Linked DNA regions of Ovis aries. Each later gene encodes a partner of the first gene's protein in a complex. Links are inferred from orthologs where the notes say so. Each region holds a gene or a part of one and is shown on either strand. Other genes may lie near its edges.

Region 1 (4,108 bases):
TAGGACTTCCCATTTTAACAAGTTCCCCAGGGAGCTTGAGTCAAAGGCAGGAATTCTTAACACCTCTCCCTCCCACTTCCCCAGACTGGAGAAAAGCTGACCATCCAACAGGGCACAGCCCCACACAGACACATGTGAAGGAACTCAGCTTTACAAGACACGCTCCTTACACTGTGAACATGGATCCACAGCCCACGTTTGAATCCAACATGCGCATCAAATTCAATCAGTGTAGATTTCTGTGCCCAAGGATTTACCAGGGAAGAGTGTGGTGAGGAAGGGAGTTAACACTTGGTCCTAATACATCTAATACAAACTGAGCAAGGGCTGGGCAAGCACTATGAGGGCATGGCCCCTCTCACAAGGACTGAGGAGGTGGCATTTGAGCCGAACATATGAAGAGAAAGGAACATATTTTTAGAACGTGCCCAGACAAGAGAGTGGGCAGATGTACCTGAGCTGCGTGAGGGGAGAGCCCTGCCTGTGGCCATCCTCACATCCACATGCACACACACAAGCCCCCAGTGTCTGGCACAGAGTCCATGTCAGCAGGTGGTTCATTAACTCCTAGCGTCCTTTGGCAGGAACCCAGGCGCAGCAAAAGCATAGTGGGTATGAGACAGTGGCTGGGGTCAGAGACTTCAAACACTAGAATGGGAGTAGTCGACAGTAGGTGACCACGTGGAAGGGACCCAAAGGCCAGTGGGCTAGGAGAGGACCTGGAGACCCTGACCAGTAAGGAGGGTCACCCCCAGCAGACCCACCCCTGCAGGGGAGGACACCCCAGTCCTGGCTGGCTGACCCCACTCCCCCAAAGCCAGCTTGGGCTCAGCTCTGCCATCTCCTGCCTGGGCCCTGGGACCTCACGATGCAGATTCCACCTGCAGCTCGGGCTCTGGATCTCCAATCTGGGAACACCTCTTGGCTTCTTCCCAGGACTCAGTGAGCCTAGGGCCACCTCAGAGGAGAGCCCCAGTCTTACCTCCCCAACATGTCCACACAGCAGTCTGATTGTCCACAAGGGGGTAGATGGGGAGGGCGGGGCCTGATATGAGACCATGGGCTCCATCCGCCCCCCTCCCCCTCCACATCTACAATCCCATCCTTCCCTGAGACGCCTTCTCAGGGCCTGACTATGGGACCACCAAGGCCCCTGGTGGGAAGCCTCCCGTCAAAAGGAGAAACAGACAGCCACCACACTTCCCAAGGGAAGAAAAATTCAGGGAAGCTCAACTCATGACCCAGATGTGTGGTCACAGGTGGAAACTGCTAGGGGTGAGAAGACGTGGATCATTCCAAGACTTATCTCAATACTCCGGTTGGATCCCCAGCTCACTGTGGGACCAGGGATCATCTGGCCCACGTCCAGGACCCCACTCCTCCTGAGGGGAGACTGTCATCCTGCATACCTTGGCCTGGCTGACCATGGCTACAGCTGACCTGGGCTCTGTGCAGGACAGAGGCCACACCGGGAGACTGGGGTTTAGTGCTAACCCTGACCCTGGCACCAGTGACTGAGTGACCCCCACAGGATCTCCGTCCCCCTTCTAGAGTAAAGCATTTCCTGTGGGGTGCACACAGATGAGAGGGAGGAAGCCCCACTCTGTGCAGCGCGGGGAGGGAAATAGAAGTCACCCATGATGCGCCGCAGGCCCAGCCTCTGGCAAGTCAGACCCTTCTCCAGGCACAATAGCCCTGGGGGGCAGACGTTATTTTCTTCCTTTACAAAAGAGACAAGTGAGGCTCAGGAAGGGACTTACCTAGGTCACGTGGCGAATTCACAGCACCGGTATCCAAGCTCAAAGGCCGTGCACGGAGAGCAGGTATAGCCCCGGCCACACATACACACTCACACATACATACACTCACACACATGCACACACATTGTCAAACACACACACACTCACATACAAGCCAATGGAGGAAGAGGGCAACCTCAGTCCTGTGAGCTCACAGGAGACTCTGGGAGCCACAGCTTCCAATCTGGGACTGTGTCTCCCATCCTGGTCCCCAAGTCACTGTCACTTGCATTAAACTCTAGGAAAGTACACAAAACATTCAGAGAGGGCCCCTCCTGGCAGCCTGCTCCCTAGCCTTCTAGGCCTCGGGACTGTACCTGATTGTGGAAAGCTACTCAGGGCCCAGGGTGTGCCCTGCGAGGGAAAGGCTCCCAGATGTTGGAAGGGGGAGCAACTTCTCACTTACTACCCAGACACACTCAATCCCTGGCCACACCCTCTTCAAAGGAAGCAATTCAATCAAGTGGCTCCAGGGATCGTGAGGACTGGGAGGGCTCTGCAAGCTTGTCAGAGAAGGAGGTGTGGAGAAAACTCAGGGTGTGAAAGGGAGGCAGAGGTACTGTTTTAGGACAGAGTCTTGCGGCCCCGAGGGTGCAGACAGGCCCTGGGGGATGCAATGGGCAGTTGAACTCAGTTCAACTCCAGGAAGGACGTTTTGCTGTCAGAGGTCCCCAGGGATGAGCAGGCTGCCTGGGAAGGGAGGGGGAGGAGACGTGGGGACCGCAGGTGTCAGGAGTTCTCCAAGCCAGGCCACCAGACTGCTTAGTAGAGAGACTCCTGCGCTGGGGAAGGGCAGTGGGCCCCAGGATGGCCCAGCGGTTCCCAGATCTCAAGCTCAGTGCGGGGCCAGGAGGGTCTGAGCTGGCTACTCACGATTGGCAAGGGGCCCAGCAAGCAGAGGACGCAGGCGCCCCACACCCTGCTGCCCATGGTGGGAGCTCGGCGACGGCTGCCTGGGTCAGCCTCGGTGGCCCTGCGCTCCTTCCACCGTCCCCTGTTGTCACTGCTGCCAGCACGGCCTCTGCTTCTCCTTCCCAGCTGGCTGTCTGCGTAGACAGGAGCCAGTGAAGGGAACAGAACCCACTGAATATTCACCAGGATTACAGAACACCGTGCCCAGCTCCGCCACAGGTTCAGGGTAGAACTCTGCATTCCCGGGGGGAGGGGTTGACTTTGTAAGTCTGCCCATGTCTGTCCTAACATTACCAAGGTCACAGACAAATGGCAGCCACAGGACACCTCTTGCCCCAGTAGGTCAATATTCTTTATAATTTTCTTCTCTGAGCCCAGCCCTCTGAGGCTCCACCGTGGAAAGATTCCCCCCAAATGAAGGAGACTCCGCAAAGAAGAAGGCCTGAGTCCACACTCAGGGAGCCCAGTTTGGTTGTGATCTCAGCCTCATCCACAGGCCTGAAGGATGGGTTCGGAGCCCTGGGGACCCAGCAGAAGTGGGTAGGGTGTCAGTAGAGTCTGGAAAATAGGAATCTTAGAAAAGGAAGTGCAATCATGAAGTCCCCATGCACCCCCATGGGCTGGTCCTAAAGATAGTAGTTTCAGCAAAACCTTGTCTCTGTTCCCAGCAAGGATACCAGTCTGGATGGCGAGGTGAAGTCTGAAGAGACCCAGGCTCTGGACTTTACATGGGGGCTTGTCAAAGTCTCTTCAGAAGTCCATATGGAAACAGGGAAAAACAGGAAGCGTGCAAAAAGATTCACGTAGCTAAGCCATCCTGAGTGGGGGAAAACCAGTGTTATCAGGGGCAGAAACAAGAGAACCTACACAGCAGCTCAGATTAATTTGAGTATTCATTACCCTGTCATTTTTATTATAGTTTCAGACTTTAAAATGAGGGATCTCAGTTGGCCAGGCTAGAAACAGTGTTCTAAATTGCCCAGAACCTTGCACAGCACTGGGGCGTCTGGAAATCACATTAGATCTTCAAGCGTCCCGAAGGTGCCAGTACCTGGCAGGCCCTGCCATCTGTGTGCTGCTGCTGCTCCTGCTAAGTCGCTTCAGTCGTGTCCAACTCTGTGCGACCCCATAGATGGCAGCCCATCAGGCTCTGCCATCCCTGGGATTCTCCAGGCAAGAACACTGGAGTGGGTGGCCATTTCCTTCTCCAATGCCTGACAGTGAAAAGTGAAAGTGAAGTCGCTCAGTCGTGTCCGACTCGTAGCGACCCCATGGACTGCAGCCCACCAGGCTCCTCCGTCCATGGGATTTTCCAGACAAGAGTACTGGAGTGGGGTGCCATTGCCTTCTGTGTGCAGGTCTGCAATCCCAGAGCTTGTCAGGCGGGACTCTGACAC
Region 2 (3,302 bases), on another chromosome or scaffold:
TGAGGAAGCCCCCGGCAAGCCCAATATGAGGGACATTCTATGAAGAACTGCCCTTTACTAATAAAAAATGTCTGTGTCATAAAGACTGAGGAACTGATCCAGACCAAAAGAAACTAAACGCCACCTGTGGCTGGATTGAGTCCTGGATGAGGAAGATCAGTAATTGTTACAGGGACTTCCCTGGTGGCCCAGTGGTTAAGAATCCGCCTTGCACCATGGGCGACATGAGCTCAATCCCTGATGGGGGAACTAAGATCCTACATGCCGCAGAGAAGCTGAGCCCGAGCACCACAGTTCCTAAGCCCGTGTGCTGCAACCAGAGGGTCCACGTGGCACAATGAACGAGCCTGTGTGCTACACTTAAGACCTCATGCAGCCAAAAATATTTTAAAATTTATATAAAGGACATTTTGGGACAACTAGTGAAATTTAAATATGGACTCTAAGTGATAATTATACTGTGATTATATCAGAGAGTATCCTTTGATTAGCTATTAGGAGACACACAAAAGTACTTAAGGATAAAGGGTCATGATGATTATAATTCACTCTCAAATGGTTCAGCAAAACAATAATACTCATAATCATACCTGAGCTTGTGTACGTATGTCTAGACCTGTATCTAGGCATATATATATATATATATATATATATATATATATATATATATATGGAGAGAGAGAGAGAGAGAGTGTGTGTGTGTTTGTGTGTTTGTGTGTACATGCTCAGTCATGTCTGACTCTGCAACCGCATGGACTGTAGCCTGCCAGGCTCCTCTGTCCATGGGATTTTCCAGGCAAGAATAATGGAGTGGGTTGCCATTTCCTCCTCCAGGGACTCTTCCTGACCCACGTCTTCTGCACTGCAGGCAGATTCTTTACCACTGAGTCATCAGGGAAGCCCCAGATATGGAGTAAGCAAATATAGTAAAAAATATTAGGAATTGTTGACTCTTAGGGCAGGGCATGTTAAAGCCCTTTGTGCTATTTCTGCAACTTCTCTGTAAATTTGGAATTTTTTCAAAATGAAAATTAAAACATGTTCAGGCAGTGGAGTCAGGCTGATTGGATGCTAATTCTGCCACTCAGTCGTGTGTGTCCTTTAGAAGCTATTAATGTAGCTTCTGTGTGATGAGGGTAAGAGGACACATCCTTTGTAAAGTTGTTGGAAAGAGCACATAAGAACCTGAGCATAATGGCTGACACTGCCAAGGGCTTGCTCTGCACTGTGCCAGGAGTATATTGATGAACCAGTGCAAAGTCTTTTTTTCTGGTAGAGTCAGTCAAGTGGTGACTACTCTCAGTGTTATTACTGGAGCCCAACTCAGGGACAAGCATCTATGCTCAATGATCATTTATTAGTTAAGGGTTAAGACGAGATTCAACACTGGAGCCCTTCTGCCCTGGCAAGTCCAGAAGTGACAGCTGCTGTGCAAGCGAAGAGACCAGACTTGGTTCCTCCAAATCGTGATGAACCGAGGGTGCAGGGAGAAGTCACGAGAACGCTGGCTCACCCCTGCTGCCTGTTCATGATATCCTGGAGTAGCTTGCGGGCAGACAGCTGGCCCAGAATCTTCCGGTAGCTGTTAGTGAAGATGGCATCTGCGTACCGTGGGATCCTAGGAGGAGTCAGAGGTCAAAGGGTGGGGTGGGAGGCCCAGGGGACTGTGCTCACTTGGTCTCTGTGAGGTTCTTCTGTTGCCTCTTGCCCTGCTCATCCCCAGAGAGGGCTGGAACCAGGGCTGGGTGGTGACCTCTCTGGGGCTCAGTCTCCCTCCCTCCCAGAAATGAGCAAGGGAGGCTGCCTGAGGAGCCAGCTGGGGACCAGCTCGATTCTGCATCCTCAAAGTGCCTCTCTTGCTTCTCTTGTCAGAACTGCTTACCTGAGAGGCTGGGAGGGCAGGGAACCTTGGGAGCCGCTGCTGAGGGTGAGGGTCACGAGGAAGAACACCCAGAGCAGCATCCTTCACCCCTGTGCTGGTACCTGGGAAATGACAGACAGGAAGAAAAGGTCAGGCATAGCCACAGACACTGGGATGCCCTCTGCTAGCTCTGGCCCTCAGCCTGGCTCTGTGAGAGCTATGGTCCTTGTCTTTTGGAAGCTGTGGGGTAGGGAAGATGGAGCAGACTCGAAGTCTGACACACCTGGGTTCAAGTTCTGCCTCTGCCAGTCACAAACTCTGGCCTCATTTTCTCCATCTGTAAAATGGGCATGACAAGGCTATGCTGCTGACCTCACAGGGTTGAACACACAATGAAAGACAATGGTGAAACTACCTCTTCCTATAGGGCATTCTATGTGGGACTCAGGCCTCAGCAAGGAATAATATGTGTGCTAAATCGCTTCAGTCGTGTCCGACACTTTGTGACCCTATGGACTGTAGCCCACCAGGCTCCTCTGTCCGTGGGGATTCTTCAGGCAAGAAGACTGGAGTTGGGGAGGAGCAAACAGCTTCTCATATTTGCCTGAGTCTCCCCCTGCCCCAGTGTGGCACTGACAGCATTAAGTGGGGCTGACAGCTCAGGGTCTGAGTCAGAAAAATCCGAGTTCACATCCAGGCTTGGTCATCACTAGCTGTGCATCCCAGGACTAGGGGCTTCTCCTTTCCAGACCTCAGTTTCTCTGTCCATAAAATGGACTTGATAACTGGACCTACTGCCTAGGGTCATGTGAACATGAACTGAGATGAGGCGCCTGACGTGAGTGGTTGGCACGGGGGCGTTCTTCACGCACCTCTGCTCTGAGGACCTGCTCAGAGGGCAGGCTGTCTTGTTTTGTGTGGACTTGGAGGGAAGGGATAACGGCTGTGCCTCTTGCTCCAGAAATTTAGATTTTGCCCAAGAGTTTTAGCCCTGGAAGAGACCAGGGACCTGGGGAGCCCGGCGGCAGAACCATCTCATAGATCACGTAATTATCCTTAATGGGGGCCTGCTGACACCATGCTCGGCAATTAGGAAGAAGAGTCTACAGGGGACAGAGCCGCCTCTGCTAGGGCCGTGCTCTGCTATCAACCCAGACCGCGGGGTGGAAACCGCTGGGCTCAGGAAGACTCAGTCACCTCAGGGTCAGGACTTCCCATCTCCCAGGGGCATCCCTCTCAGCAGGATGTCCCCTCTAGGGGCATACGGACCCCTCCAGATGCTCGGACAGCCCCGGAAAGGGCAAGAGACACCTCACGGCCCACAATCTCCCTGAGTGGCTCCATTTCTGGCAGGTCTTGCTCAGAAGGGATTTCCAGCAGGCAGGGCCAGCCCGGGAGGAATCCACTTCCATCCCTGGGCTCACTTCTCCTCTCAGGATAT

The links.
Region 2: the proteins of GHRHR (region 1) and GHRH are in contact, whole or in part, in a cryo-EM structure (PDB 7CZ5), measured with the Homo sapiens proteins. The link is inferred for Ovis aries from reciprocal best matches to the Homo sapiens genes GHRHR and GHRH. Residues at the interface, in NP_000814.2 of Homo sapiens: Leu119, Ala120, Glu122, Glu123, Phe126, Ser127, Val129, Lys130, Tyr133, Val179, Lys182, Leu186, Phe187, Asp190, Thr192, Asp193, His194, Cys195, Phe197, His210, Thr213, Phe217, Ala271, Cys272, Asp274, Leu275, Asp276, Trp282, Ile285, Ile289; in NP_066567.1 of Homo sapiens: Tyr32, Ala33, Asp34, Ala35, Ile36, Phe37, Thr38, Asn39, Ser40, Tyr41, Arg42, Val44, Leu45, Gly46, Gln47, Leu48, Ser49, Ala50, Leu53.

Annotation. Positions count from the first base shown.
Region 1 is NC_056057.1:66,944,726-66,948,833, forward strand, and holds the start of GHRHR (growth hormone-releasing hormone receptor precursor), read right to left. Parts: upstream 2,814-4,108; 5' UTR 2,730-2,813; coding exon 2,673-2,729; exon of another isoform or gene 1,761-2,672; intron 1-1,760.
Region 2 is NC_056066.1:66,191,797-66,195,098, forward strand, and holds part of GHRH (somatoliberin), read right to left. Parts: intron 1,984-3,302; 5' UTR 1,963-1,983; coding exon 1,883-1,962; intron 1,619-1,882; coding exon 1,514-1,618; intron 1-1,513. UniProt on the Homo sapiens protein: GRF is released by the hypothalamus and acts on the adenohypophyse to stimulate the secretion of growth hormone.